Saccharomyces cerevisiae S288C: one gene and its partners. The gene in region 2 interacts genetically with the main gene of each other region. Each region holds a gene or a part of one and is shown on either strand. Other genes may lie near its edges.

Region 1 (4,516 bases), on a different chromosome or scaffold from region 2:
GTCTTTCAACATTTTGGATATATCCCACATCTTCATCTGATATGGACTTGATATTAAGAGCTATTAATTTTAGTGTAGTACCACTAGAGCTGGATTTCTCTTGTGTTGCCAACTCAGATATTATAGTGTTGCTTGAATTAGTGGATGTTTTGTCAGCAGGCAAATGTTCCTCCTTCGGATCCAACGTCCTCTTTGAAGATGTCGCTACCATACGTTACGGATACTTATAGACTTAACTCCCCCCAATAAGTTCAGGTGAAAAGTAGCATGGAGTTTTGGCATTAACTTTATTTGCCCACTTATATTTAGAGATCTTGAAATACTTTTTGTTACCCGACTTGTAGCTTCATTTTTTCATTTTTTTTTTTTTTTTTTATTTTTATTTTGTATTGTTCTTTGAAAGAATCATGCATGGAAGCAATAACTATTATACGGAAGTTATATACAAGAAATCATTATATAGTTACAGCATCATATGTGCAGAAAATTGGTTCTGAGCTTTTCTTATTGTCTTCTTATGACAAGTGTATTAAGTCAACTTTTCTGGAACAGTAATTCCATCACATTCTTTTAAAATTTGAATATCCTTAGGGTTGGGACGAAAACCCTCATTAGTGCCTAAATCTCGCATAAACTGGTTAATAAAAGCAACCTCTTTGTCAGATAACTGCTGAGTATTGCGTGCAAATGTGGCCAAGTTGAATAGAATTTTCGAAACGGCCAAGTTCGACACCCTGATACTTGAATCCTTAGCTAGATTGTAGTACTTTTCGATGTAGGGAACGTACTCGCTATGTTTACTCTTGTAAAGTTTATCACAGAACCCCAATAATAAAGCATTTAGAGGCGTATTATCCACGTTTCTCTTTCTAGTCTTTTGATATGAGAGAAAATCAGAAAACAAATTCTTTGCCTCGGCCACTGTGCCGTCAGGCTTATTAAACTCTGCGGAAATAAAGTCTGCATAATTCCTAGCATTTAAGTGAGTTCCCAATTGTTTGTAAAGTTGACGAATCGGCTCGACAGTGGGGCACACTGAAATAAAGGCTTTCGTAATCTTTTCAACCTTTTCATAATCGGTGGGATTAATGGAAACACTTTGCAATAGATCGAATTGTGGGCGTGTATCTTCTGCCTGAAATTTATAATTAGCGTACATTTTAATGCTTAGAGTATCCAAAGTAGGGGGTAACACACCATCTGATGGATAATGGTTATAGTAAAATGTGTTGAATTGTTCTTCGCTCACTTTTTCATCATCTAACATTAGCAATAAAACTTTATTGAACAACTTCTTGGTTTTAACAGTCTCTGCTAACTCCCCTTTGACTTGGTCATACTTTAGAGGCGAAGTTTGACATAAGGCCAGGAGAAATGCTTCCTTCACGATGGGATCTTTCTTGAACTTTTTAGGAAGTTCTTCTTCCCAAAATTCCTTTAAATGGTTGAAATTTCCAGAATCAGTTAGTGCGTTAACTAGCGTCGCATAAGATGTGTTTTTAATATTATCTCCTGGTTTGATAACACTGTTCCAGACTGCTAGAATTCTGTCCAACTTCTCTTTACTCGATTTAGCTCGTAAGTGCGACACAGCTCTTAAAAGACAATCTTTCAGCGACGTACTATTTGGGAAAACCTTGCTATACTGGTTATAAATAGTAACAACTTGGTCGGGTTTATCCAAATCAATAAACTTGTCCATGAACTTGCTTATGATCTCTACATTTTTCTCACCTTCAAGTTTATTGTATTGGCCATAAAGATCCCTTAAATCTATCCATCTAGGAGCATTTTCAATTTGACTTAAGAAATGATCACTATCCTGTACTGTGTATTGATAGTACAAAGTGTTTAGATTTTTGATAATCACGTCTCTTCTTTCAAGAGAGCTAAATTCTGTACTTAACATTCTTCTAATCATGTTAAAAGGTAAAACCTGGCCCATTTTACGATCGATCTGTAAAATCTTATACAGAATATTGATATCCACAGTATTCTCTGGTAAAGATAAGTAAGCAATGGTGGTAATTGCAATATTTTGCATATGTGCACGAGAAGAACTATTTTGAAGTAAGATCACTGGGTTTTCGGAAATGGTTTCCAAGTACTTCACCCATAAGGCAATAACGTCCTGTGGTGATTGATTATATAGAAGGTACTTTAAAACAATCGTGAAATGTTGTGAGCGTGCCAATTTGTATTGGCACAATGTGTTTAATACTTGATAAGGATCTAGCGTCATATTTTTGCTTCTGTAACTTAATTCCTGTAGGAGATCCGAAGAAAAATTCGCTAACAAGTGTGATCTTTCCATAGGTGAAGGGTTCCTTAATTTCTGTTTCAACGATTCAATCTTATCTTTAAAGTCATTAAAAACTTCATTGATATCTGAATCTGGAGCTTTCAACTCGTTCTTCAAATCAGCAGCCAAATTTTGTACCCTTTCAAACGGTGAGACGTGCTTTTCTCTATTTCCTGAATGTCCATCATCTGTTTCTTGTAAGTGAACGCTGCTTTGTTGGTATATCGATGTTGAAGAGGTTAGACATCTTCGTGAAATAATCACCTTTGAACAATCAAAGGCCCTTAAAGCATTATGGGAAAGCATCTGTATCCCAGTGGAAGGCTCTGATATTATTTTGTGCAGAGCCAACTTAAGCAAACATATAGACAGTACGTCCTTAGTTAGACATGTGTAGCAATTGAACGATTCCACAGGCGGTATGTATATCGTATATGATGATATTACATTTTACTTACCCCGCTTTTTCCCTCTTATAATCGATTAATTACTTAGTCGACGAGCAACCTTTTATGGCATATTTGAAAGGTAATACAATGTTCCAACTTCGTTTTTTATTCACAGATCAATTAACGTATTGGCACACCTGATATTTCCTCAATAGTAAGTAGTTTTGGTGATGTAACTTTGACACTACCTTCGACCGAATATTCACTTATAAAACTTATATATTACTTGCTTTTACTTCTAACTTGTCTGGAGAGTTCAATCTTTGTTTTCAGCTCTATATACCGGTTTTCTGCATCGGCGGCTAAATGGTATTCTTTTCCGCTTGGCTCTACACAATGTTTATTAAGCTGAGCGTCGGTGTTTCCGATTTGGACCGTTTGACTTTCTTTTTGGACTGGTTTTCTTTTTTAGTACGAGGTGTACGGACAAAAGATACTAACGGACAAAACGCGGTTGCAACTGAAATTTTTTTTTCACTATTTTCGTAGGGCACATTGGTGTAAATATATATATATATACTCAAGGTTCATCTCGTTTTTTTTAATATTCTTGTTCCTTACTCTTGATCATACGTAGAATGTATGTCTTTATCCTGAAAGTAAAGAAAGGATTATACAATGCTGAAATGTTAGTACTAAATATGAGCATACAATCACTTGTTGTTCACTAGTTCAACGAGTTTCATTCATATTCAACTCACGCAAGGGATTATGGAAGAAGAATCCTTTTTATGAAAGGGAAAAAAAACCGAAATACTATGTTAACTGCTTCCAACGCTCTATACTAATGCGCATGAAGATTTTACTTGCGAATCAAACTGATTCGCACGCAATATCTAAGTCTGCTATACCTACCTTACATCTCGCCGTATGTTATGGGTGCAAGGGTGTTTTTTTTTTTTTATATTTTTTTTGTTTGGGGTTTTCGATACTTTGTGAAGGAACGACGCAGAAAAAAACGAAAATCATACGCCCGATGAAATTTTTGATAAGAAAATTTTCTGAAAACCCATGCGATGAGAAGTCAAAAATTTTTCTTCTTCTCCTTTTCTTGTACTTTTATCCCGGCTAGTTCTTTTTCTAAAATTTTCATATTCCAGTCCAATATTTTACTTCATTTTTTTTTTCTGTTCTCGCTTGGCTTGATTTAATTTTTTACGTAGGTTTTTTTTACACGATATTGTTTGTATTATCAGTATTCCCTTCAAGCTCCCCTTTTTTTTATCAATTAAGGTTCTTGGTAATTTCTATTTCTGAAAAACCAAAAACAAAAAGTCATTGATTGACTATTTGACTCAAATTACCAAAATCATAACTTTTCTTTTCAGCATTCCATTATTGAAGGCTTTAAAATAATAGTTTCTTTTTTCCTATTATTTTATTTTTTCCTTTACATTGGAATACATTTTATTTTGAGTTTTAATTTTTTTTATTTTCTATTCCATTGTTTTTTATTTGCTTTGGACTGCCCTTTTCGTAATAATTTCCCTTTTTACCCTATTTTAGTCACTTCTGTGTCAGCAAGCGGGATTATATAAAGAAACGTTAGCAGAAACAATATCAGCAAAATAGAAAATAAACGGGCAATCAATCAATAACTACAGAAATATTGGGAGGTTTTAACTAATTTTTCCAGGATATTTCAACTTTTCATAAATCAAATTTTTTTTACTTTTTTTTTTGCTTTGCTATAGTATTTTAGAAAAGGACAAAAAAATACGAAAAAAGACAAAAAACCATATAAAAAAATTGATTAGAAGAACTT
Region 2 (3,593 bases):
CTACAGTTTTTGAAGTTTATCATGCATTCTGCAAAGCTTCTGGTATTGATCTTCCATACAAAGTTACGGGCAGAAGAGCAGGTGATGTTTTGAACTTGACGGCTAAACCAGATAGGGCCAAACGCGAACTGAAATGGCAGACCGAGTTGCAGGTTGAAGACTCCTGCAAGGATTTATGGAAATGGACTACTGAGAATCCTTTTGGTTACCAGTTAAGGGGTGTCGAGGCCAGATTTTCCGCTGAAGATATGCGTTATGACGCAAGATTTGTGACTATTGGTGCCGGCACCAGATTTCAAGCCACGTTTGCCAATTTGGGCGCCAGCATTGTTGACCTGAAAGTGAACGGACAATCAGTTGTTCTTGGCTATGAAAATGAGGAAGGGTATTTGAATCCTGATAGTGCTTATATAGGCGCCACGATCGGCAGGTATGCTAATCGTATTTCGAAGGGTAAGTTTAGTTTATGCAACAAAGACTATCAGTTAACCGTTAATAACGGCGTTAATGCGAATCATAGTAGTATCGGTTCTTTCCACAGAAAAAGATTTTTGGGACCCATCATTCAAAATCCTTCAAAGGATGTTTTTACCGCCGAGTACATGCTGATAGATAATGAGAAGGACACCGAATTTCCAGGTGATCTATTGGTAACCATACAGTATACTGTGAACGTTGCCCAAAAAAGTTTGGAAATGGTATATAAAGGTAAATTGACTGCTGGTGAAGCGACGCCAATAAATTTAACAAATCATAGTTATTTCAATCTGAACAAGCCATATGGAGACACTATTGAGGGTACGGAGATTATGGTGCGTTCAAAAAAATCTGTTGATGTCGACAAAAACATGATTCCTACGGGTAATATCGTCGATAGAGAAATTGCTACCTTTAACTCTACAAAGCCAACGGTCTTAGGCCCCAAAAATCCCCAGTTTGATTGTTGTTTTGTGGTGGATGAAAATGCTAAGCCAAGTCAAATCAATACTCTAAACAATGAATTGACGCTTATTGTCAAGGCTTTTCATCCCGATTCCAATATTACATTAGAAGTTTTAAGTACAGAGCCAACTTATCAATTTTATACCGGTGATTTCTTGTCTGCTGGTTACGAAGCAAGACAAGGTTTTGCAATTGAGCCTGGTAGATACATTGATGCTATCAATCAAGAGAACTGGAAAGATTGTGTAACCTTGAAAAACGGTGAAACTTACGGGTCCAAGATTGTCTACAGATTTTCCTGATTTGCCAGCTTACTATCCTTCTTGAAAATATGCACTCTATATCTTTTAGTTCTTAATTGCAACACATAGATTTGCTGTATAACGAATTTTATGCTATTTTTTAAATTTGGAGTTCAGTGATAAAAGTGTCACAGCGAATTTCCTCACATGTAGGGACCGAATTGTTTACAAGTTCTCTGTACCACCATGGAGACATCAAAAATTGAAAATCTATGGAAAGATATGGACGGTAGCAACAAGAATATAGCACGAGCCGCGGAGTTCATTTCGTTACTTTTGATATCACTCACAACTATTGCGAAGCGCTTCAGTGAAAAAATCATAAGGAAAAGTTGTAAATATTATTGGTAGTATTCGTTTGGTAAAGTAGAGGGGGTAATTTTTCCCCTTTATTTTGTTCATACATTCTTAAATTGCTTTGCCTCTCCTTTTGGAAAGCTATACTTCGGAGCACTGTTGAGCGAAGGCTCATTAGATATATTTTCTGTCATTTTCCTTAACCCAAAAATAAGGGAAAGGGTCCAAAAAGCGCTCGGACAACTGTTGACCGTGATCCGAAGGACTGGCTATACAGTGTTCACAAAATAGCCAAGCTGAAAATAATGTGTAGCTATGTTCAGTTAGTTTGGCTAGCAAAGATATAAAAGCAGGTCGGAAATATTTATGGGCATTATTATGCAGAGCATCAACATGATAAAAAAAAACAGTTGAATATTCCCTCAAAAATGACTGCTGAAGAATTTGATTTTTCTAGCCATTCCCATAGACGTTACAATCCACTAACCGATTCATGGATCTTAGTTTCTCCACACAGAGCTAAAAGACCTTGGTTAGGTCAACAGGAGGCTGCTTACAAGCCCACAGCTCCATTGTATGATCCAAAATGCTATCTATGTCCTGGTAACAAAAGAGCTACTGGTAACCTAAACCCAAGATATGAATCAACGTATATTTTCCCCAATGATTATGCTGCCGTTAGGCTCGATCAACCTATTTTACCACAGAATGATTCCAATGAGGATAATCTTAAAAATAGGCTGCTTAAAGTGCAATCTGTGAGAGGCAATTGTTTCGTCATATGTTTTAGCCCCAATCATAATCTAACCATTCCACAAATGAAACAATCAGATCTGGTTCATATTGTTAATTCTTGGCAAGCATTGACTGACGATCTCTCCAGAGAAGCAAGAGAAAATCATAAGCCTTTCAAATATGTCCAAATATTTGAAAACAAAGGTACAGCCATGGGTTGTTCCAACTTACATCCACATGGCCAAGCTTGGTGCTTAGAATCCATCCCTAGTGAAGTTTCGCAAGAATTGAAATCTTTTGATAAATATAAACGTGAACACAATACTGATTTGTTTGCCGATTACGTCAAATTAGAATCAAGAGAGAAGTCAAGAGTCGTAGTGGAGAATGAATCCTTTATTGTTGTTGTTCCATACTGGGCCATCTGGCCATTTGAGACCTTGGTCATTTCAAAGAAGAAGCTTGCCTCAATTAGCCAATTTAACCAAATGGTGAAGGAGGACCTCGCCTCGATTTTAAAGCAACTAACTATTAAGTATGATAATTTATTTGAAACGAGTTTCCCATACTCAATGGGTATCCATCAGGCTCCTTTGAATGCGACTGGTGATGAATTGAGTAATAGTTGGTTTCACATGCATTTCTACCCACCTTTACTGAGATCAGCTACTGTTCGGAAATTCTTGGTTGGTTTTGAATTGTTAGGTGAGCCTCAAAGAGATTTAACTTCGGAACAAGCTGCTGAAAAACTAAGAAATTTAGATGGTCAGATTCATTATCTACAAAGACTGTAAAAAGAAAGTGGAATATTCATTCATATCATATTTTTTCTATTAACTGCCTGGTTTCTTTTAAATTTTTTATTGGTTGTCGACTTGAACGGAGTGACAATATATATATATATATATTTAATAATGACATCATTATCTGTAAATCTGATTCTTAATGCTATTCTAGTTATGTAAGAGTGGTCCTTTCCATAAAAAAAAAAAAAAAGAAAAAAGAATTTTAGGAATACAATGCAGCTTGTAAGTAAAATCTGGAATATTCATATCGCCACAACTTCTTATGCTTATAAAAGCACTAATGCCTGAATTTATGTTGAAAATATGTGTCACAAATAAAGAAACTGTGACATCTGACACATTTCCACTTTATTGACAAGAATAGAATTTCTTTAAGTTTCCCCTCTAGATTATTTATTTTCAAATTTTAGGCTCTGTTGAAGTTTATTACGTAGAAATTCCTACGATAGTTATTAGTCCTAATTGGATGTTGCAGCAAGGCTCATTGTCGGTGTCGTTATCGATGGAAATC
Region 3 (3,830 bases), on a different chromosome or scaffold from region 2:
GTCATTTTTTCTTTTATTCATGATCGTATCATTATTGGCGTCGCTGTTGTATGTAGTGGCGGCATTGCTACCGGAATTGCAATTGTTTGTTTGGAACGCAGTATTGTGTTCATAGTATGAGAGCATTTCACGCAGCACACTTGAGTCTTAAATTAATGAATAAAAGCAGCCAACCCCAAGAAAAAAGAGCCCTTATCTGTTTCTGTCGCAGTCCTATTGTATTCTTCCTAACTATATAATTTTGTCAAAATGAAAAATATAAAAAAAATAATAAAGTCAGCTGAGTGGTAAAGAGAAAGCAAAGGGAGAGAAAAATCGGTTACCCAGATGGATTAGGTTACCCAGATGTCATACGTGTATCATGATTTCTAGAAATTATTACCCTGTTTGGTACCATGACAACGGATATGGCAATCTTGCATTAAGTAAAATGTCTCTAATGGGACCGTGAAGGTACAAAACAGCAATGGTCTAGGTAGTGGCATTCGAAGCTTCGAAAGCGTGGCCTCGCCTCGAGCGTGAAGTCATATTTTCTCACTCTGCACTGCCGTGCTGTGCCATGTAGCCCACTGTATGCCTCTAGCACCCCAATCGGGAAAATTGTAAACATTAGCAGGTGTCGCCTCGAGGCCCCCGATACATTTTTCAACATCTCCTCGATACTTAAACAGCAAACAAACAAGCAACACCCACGCAAGAAGATTTATTAATACCTCTTGACTCCCGTAGATATTGAAGAGACTAAGTATAGTAACGCATATCCGCACAATACTATGGTTAAGGTCTGGAATATAGTACTACGTCTGGTAGTGTTGCTGTTTTTAGCAGGTAATACCTTGCTGTTAATTTTGATGATTATATCTGGTGCCACGGACCATTACCCCGTGAACAGATTCTATTGGGTGCAGGGCAATACAACAGGCATACCTAATGCTGGGGATGAAACACGTTGGACGTTTTGGGGCGCCTGTCTACAGGATAAAGACGGGTCGGATACCTGCACAAGCAATTTGGCACCTGCATACCCCATTTCCCCAGTAGATAACTTCAACACACACATCAATGTCCCTCACCAGTTTATTTCCAAAAGAGACGCTTTTTACTACCTGACTAGATTTTCATTTTGTTTCTTTTGGATTGCGCTTGCCTTTGTAGGTGTGTCGTTTATCCTTTACGTTTTGACTTGGTGCTCGAAGATGCTTTCAGAGATGGTGCTTATCCTCATGTCTTTTGGGTTTGTCTTCAATACGGCAGCCGTTGTCTTGCAAACGGCCGCCTCTGCCATGGCAAAGAATGCTTTCCATGACGATCATCGTAGTGCCCAATTGGGTGCCTCTATGATGGGTATGGCTTGGGCAAGTGTCTTTTTATGTATCGTGGAATTTATCCTGCTGGTCTTCTGGTCTGTTAGGGCAAGGTTGGCCTCTACTTACTCCATCGACAATTCAAGATACAGAACCTCCTCCAGATGGAATCCCTTCCATAGAGAGAAGGAGCAAGCAACTGACCCAATATTGACTGCCACTGGACCTGAAGACATGCAACAAAGTGCAAGCATAGTGGGGCCTTCTTCCAATGCTAATCCGGTCACTGCCACTGCTGCTACGGAAAACCAACCTAAAGGTATTAACTTCTTCACTATAAGAAAATCACACGAGCGCCCGGACGATGTCTCTGTTTAAATGGCGCAAGTTTTCCGCTTTGTAATATATATTTATACCCCTTTCTTCTCTCCCCTGCAATATAATAGTTTAATTCTAATATTAATAATATCCTATATTTTCTTCATTTACCGGCGCACTCTCGCCCGAACGACCTCAAAATGTCTGCTACATTCATAATAACCAAAAGCTCATAACTTTTTTTTTTGAACCTGAATATATATACATCACATATCACTGCTGGTCCTTGCCGACCAGCGTATACAATCTCGATAGTTGGTTTCCCGTTCTTTCCACTCCCGTCATGGACTACAACAAGAGATCTTCGGTCTCAACCGTGCCTAATGCAGCTCCCATAAGAGTCGGATTCGTCGGTCTCAACGCAGCCAAAGGATGGGCAATCAAGACACATTACCCCGCCATACTGCAACTATCGTCACAATTTCAAATCACTGCCTTATACAGTCCAAAAATTGAGACTTCTATTGCCACCATTCAGCGTCTAAAATTGAGTAATGCCACTGCTTTTCCCACTTTAGAGTCATTTGCATCATCTTCCACTATAGATATGATAGTGATAGCTATCCAAGTGGCCAGCCATTATGAAGTTGTTATGCCTCTCTTGGAATTCTCCAAAAATAATCCGAACCTCAAGTATCTTTTCGTAGAATGGGCCCTTGCATGTTCACTAGATCAAGCCGAATCCATTTATAAGGCTGCTGCTGAACGTGGGGTTCAAACCATCATCTCTTTACAAGGTCGTAAATCACCATATATTTTGAGAGCAAAAGAATTAATATCTCAAGGCTATATCGGCGACATTAATTCGATCGAGATTGCTGGAAATGGCGGTTGGTACGGCTACGAAAGGCCTGTTAAATCACCAAAATACATCTATGAAATCGGGAACGGTGTAGATCTGGTAACCACAACATTTGGTCACACAATCGATATTTTACAATACATGACAAGTTCGTACTTTTCCAGGATAAATGCAATGGTTTTCAATAATATTCCAGAGCAAGAGCTGATAGATGAGCGTGGTAACCGATTGGGCCAGCGAGTCCCAAAGACAGTACCGGATCATCTTTTATTCCAAGGCACATTGTTAAATGGCAATGTTCCAGTGTCATGCAGTTTCAAAGGTGGCAAACCTACCAAAAAATTTACCAAAAATTTGGTCATTGACATTCACGGTACCAAGGGAGATTTGAAACTTGAAGGCGATGCCGGCTTCGCAGAAATTTCAAATCTGGTCCTTTACTACAGTGGAACTAGAGCAAACGACTTCCCGCTAGCCAATGGACAACAAGCTCCTTTAGACCCGGGGTATGATGCAGGTAAAGAAATCATGGAAGTATATCATTTACGAAATTATAATGCCATTGTGGGTAATATTCATCGACTGTATCAATCTATCTCTGACTTCCACTTCAATACAAAGAAAATTCCTGAATTACCCTCACAATTTGTAATGCAAGGTTTCGATTTCGAAGGCTTTCCCACCTTGATGGATGCTCTGATATTACACAGGTTAATCGAGAGCGTTTATAAAAGTAACATGATGGGCTCCACATTAAACGTTAGCAATATCTCGCATTATAGTTTATAAAAGCATCTTGCCCTGTGCTTGGCCCCCAGTGCAGCGAACGTTATAAAAACGAATACTGAGTATATATCTATGTAAAACAACCATATCATTTCTTGTTCTGAACTTTGTTTACCTAACTAGTTTTAAATTTCCCTTTTTCGTGCATGCGGGTGTTCTTATTTATTAGCATACTACATTTGAAATATCAAATTTCCTTAGTAGAAAAGTGAGAGAAGGTGCACTGACACAAAAAATAAAATGCTACGTATAACTGTCAAAACTTTGCAGCAGCGGGCATCCTTCCATCATAGCTTCAAACATATTAGCGTTCCTGATCTTCATACCCGTGCTCAAAATGATCAAACAAACTGTTATTGCCAAGAAATAAACGCAAGGCTGCCTTCAAAAACTGATCCATTAGATCCTCATATCAAGCTTCCTCATAGAACGCCCAATTACAATAAGCATGTTTTGCTGTTATCACCGGGTGATAGGTTTGCTCAACCATGGAAGGTAGCATGGAATCATAATTTGGATACTAATACAAATCGGCCATATAATGCCATTAGTAAATTGCG
Region 4 (2,353 bases), on a different chromosome or scaffold from region 2:
TGGTCATCACAATAGATCAGCCGGGACGCTTTTCGATCACATCGAATCCCTTCGGGACGTTGCAACAATACGTGAAAAATGCCTCAAAAATAATAAATACAATGGTGAACAACGTTAAAAAAGCATAAAACAGCTGGCTATTTTGATCAGGATAACATCTATAAGTGCCATATTAAGGCAAGATATCAATTGACCATGCAAACACCTTCAGAAAATACCGACGTAAAGATGGATACTCTCGACGAACCCAGTGCACATTTAATCGAAGAGAATGTAGCTCTTCCCGAAGACACATTCAGTTCACATCTGAGTTATGTACTTTATGAAATTGCTCATTGTAAACCGATCATGTTTATGATCATCATAATCGTGAGTTTGATCTCATTGATTGTGCTTTTTCATGATAACGACGGGTGCACTGTGATCTTAGTGATGTCCCTTATAGTAGCCTCCATGGCTTTAATGGTGGTTGCAGCATTCACATTCGGGAAAGCGATCACTGAACAGGAGTTCATGATAAAGCTTTTAGTGGAGGTGATCGCACGCAAGCCTGCGGGGAAGGAATGGGGTACTGTCGCATATAATATGAACCAATATCTATTCATGAAGAGACTATGGTATACCCCGTACTATTTCTATAGCGGCAAGAAGTGCCATGAGTTCTTCACCACTCTTATCAAGGAAGTGAATTCTGGTTCGCACTCGGATTCCTCATCGAATAGTGCCGAGGATACACAATCACCTGTCTCAGCAGGGAAGACTTCAAATGGTCTAAACAACTTTTATAGTATTAGATCAGACCCTATTTTGATGGCATATGTTTTGAAGGCAACACAAATAGAAAAGGAGGCTCAAAGTGAATACTGGAGAAAGCAATATCCTGACGCTGATTTACCTTGAAGCGGAAGCATTTTATTCACCAAGTATACTTACTTTTCTTTAAAACGAGAACAAGAATCGAATTCAAGAACATCTCGAAGCCAGAATTGAGCATCATATATTCGAGCTGTACAAACATCATGGCCTACAACTATCGTATTTGTAAGTTTTTTTAGAGGTTTTCATATTTGTTTAATAAGGGTTCTGTCAGTTTTTGTCACATTCTATTGTTGCGCTTCGCATAATGCAGCCAAGAAAATCCAAACAATAGAAAAAGAAAAAAAGGATCTCAAAAAGGGTTTGGTGTTGTAGTTATAAGAATAACTAGTGAATAAAAAAGCTGTTGTTTGGTCCGTATTACATTCGTCAAAAATTTAGTACTCAAATCGTGTATGCAATCGCAACCACAAAATAAAAATATTAGACTGGATGTGTTGAGTGGAGATGGTGCCAATTTAGTTGAGGGAAATGTGGTCCTTCCCAAAGACATGTTCAATTCGTACTTAAGTTATTCACTTTACGTGTTACGAGGGGGCTCATTGTAAGCCGATAATGATTATGTTCCTGGCATCTGTAATTTTGATTTCACTGACTAATTTCCGAGTATACCATCTCATGTCCCTTCTATCCTCTTTTTTCATCTCCGGGACAGACCGACAATAAAGCATCTAATATTAGGCTTTCGTTAGAGGTAAGCACACGCCAGCGTTCGGTGAAAGGGGAATGAAACATTATCACGTACAAGATGAATAAATATCTATTTGACCATAAAATATGGAGTACTCCTTACTACTTTTATTGCGAAGAAGATTGCCACCGTCTTTTTCTAAGTTTTATTGAGGGAAGAACTTTCGAGAAGCCAACAAGCAACGCTGAGGAAAATGTACAGGAGACTGAAGCTGGCGAATCTTTCACATTAAATCCCGGAGAAGATTTTCAAAATTGCTTTCCAAGACAGCGGATATTGTAGAACAATCTCAAGTGAAGTATTGGCAAGATATTGGTGCAATTATTTGAAAGGAAGGAGAAATATTCTGACAGTACCTTGCTAGCAAAGGGATTTACCAATCCACTGACGCTAAAATGGGGTAGTAAATTAGATAAATTGCATTCTAACGTGACTTTATATAGTGGGAAACAGATATGTAGCACACAAAACGGCATGATTATGCTTAATTGATTCCTATTTTTTAACGTAAATACTCTCCCAGAACGATCAGAAAACTTAACCCGCAACCATCTTTGCTGTGCTAACAACTTATGTCGCCTCAATACCATTTTTATTTTGTATCATTCCGGAACTTAGTATTGAATGAAAAATGCCTCCGAAGTAAAAAGCAGGTGATGAAAAGTTTCAATTGGTATAAGACAGATCGCTATTTTGATCCGCATAACATCCTTCAACACCATAGCAGAGCTATAGAGAAGACAAGATATAAACTGGGCATGCAAACATCTTCAGAAAGTACCGACG

Evidence for each region.
Region 1: mutations in GAL7 (region 2) and MSC6 together harm fitness more than expected from each alone (negative genetic interaction), as found in Saccharomyces cerevisiae (2 studies listed by BioGRID).
Region 3: mutations in GAL7 (region 2) and GAL80 together harm fitness less than expected from each alone (positive genetic interaction), as found in Saccharomyces cerevisiae (one study listed by BioGRID).
Region 4: mutations in GAL7 (region 2) and DFP2 together harm fitness more than expected from each alone (negative genetic interaction), as found in Saccharomyces cerevisiae (2 studies listed by BioGRID).

What each region holds. Positions count from the first base shown.
Region 1 is NC_001147.6:1,000,618-1,005,133, forward strand, and holds MSC6 (Msc6p), read right to left. Parts: upstream 2,609-4,516; coding exon 530-2,608; downstream 1-529. Other genes in the region: SOG2 (Sog2p), read right to left, coding at 1-211. UniProt on the Saccharomyces cerevisiae protein: May be involved in the control of meiotic sister-chromatid recombination.
Region 2 is NC_001134.8:273,904-277,496, reverse strand, and holds GAL7 (UDP-glucose:hexose-1-phosphate uridylyltransferase), read left to right. Parts: upstream 1-1,969; coding exon 1,970-3,070; downstream 3,071-3,593. Other genes in the region: GAL10 (bifunctional UDP-glucose 4-epimerase/aldose 1-epimerase), read left to right, coding at 1-1,244.
Region 3 is NC_001145.3:169,629-173,458, forward strand, and holds GAL80 (transcription regulator GAL80), read left to right. Parts: upstream 1-1,965; coding exon 1,966-3,273; downstream 3,274-3,830. Other genes in the region: YML053C (uncharacterized protein), read right to left, coding at 1-126; SUR7 (Sur7p), read left to right, coding at 774-1,682; AIM32 (Aim32p), read left to right, coding at 3,511-3,830. UniProt on the Saccharomyces cerevisiae protein: This protein is a negative regulator for the gene expression of the lactose/galactose metabolic genes. It binds to GAL4 and so blocks transcriptional activation by it, in the absence of an inducing sugar.
Region 4 is NC_001133.9:184,697-187,049, forward strand, and holds DFP2 (DUP240 family protein), read left to right. Parts: upstream 1-1,624; coding exon 1,625-1,849; downstream 1,850-2,353. Other genes in the region: KTD1 (DUP240 family protein), read left to right, coding at 196-900; pheromone-regulated DUP240 family protein PRM9, read left to right, coding at 2,140-2,353.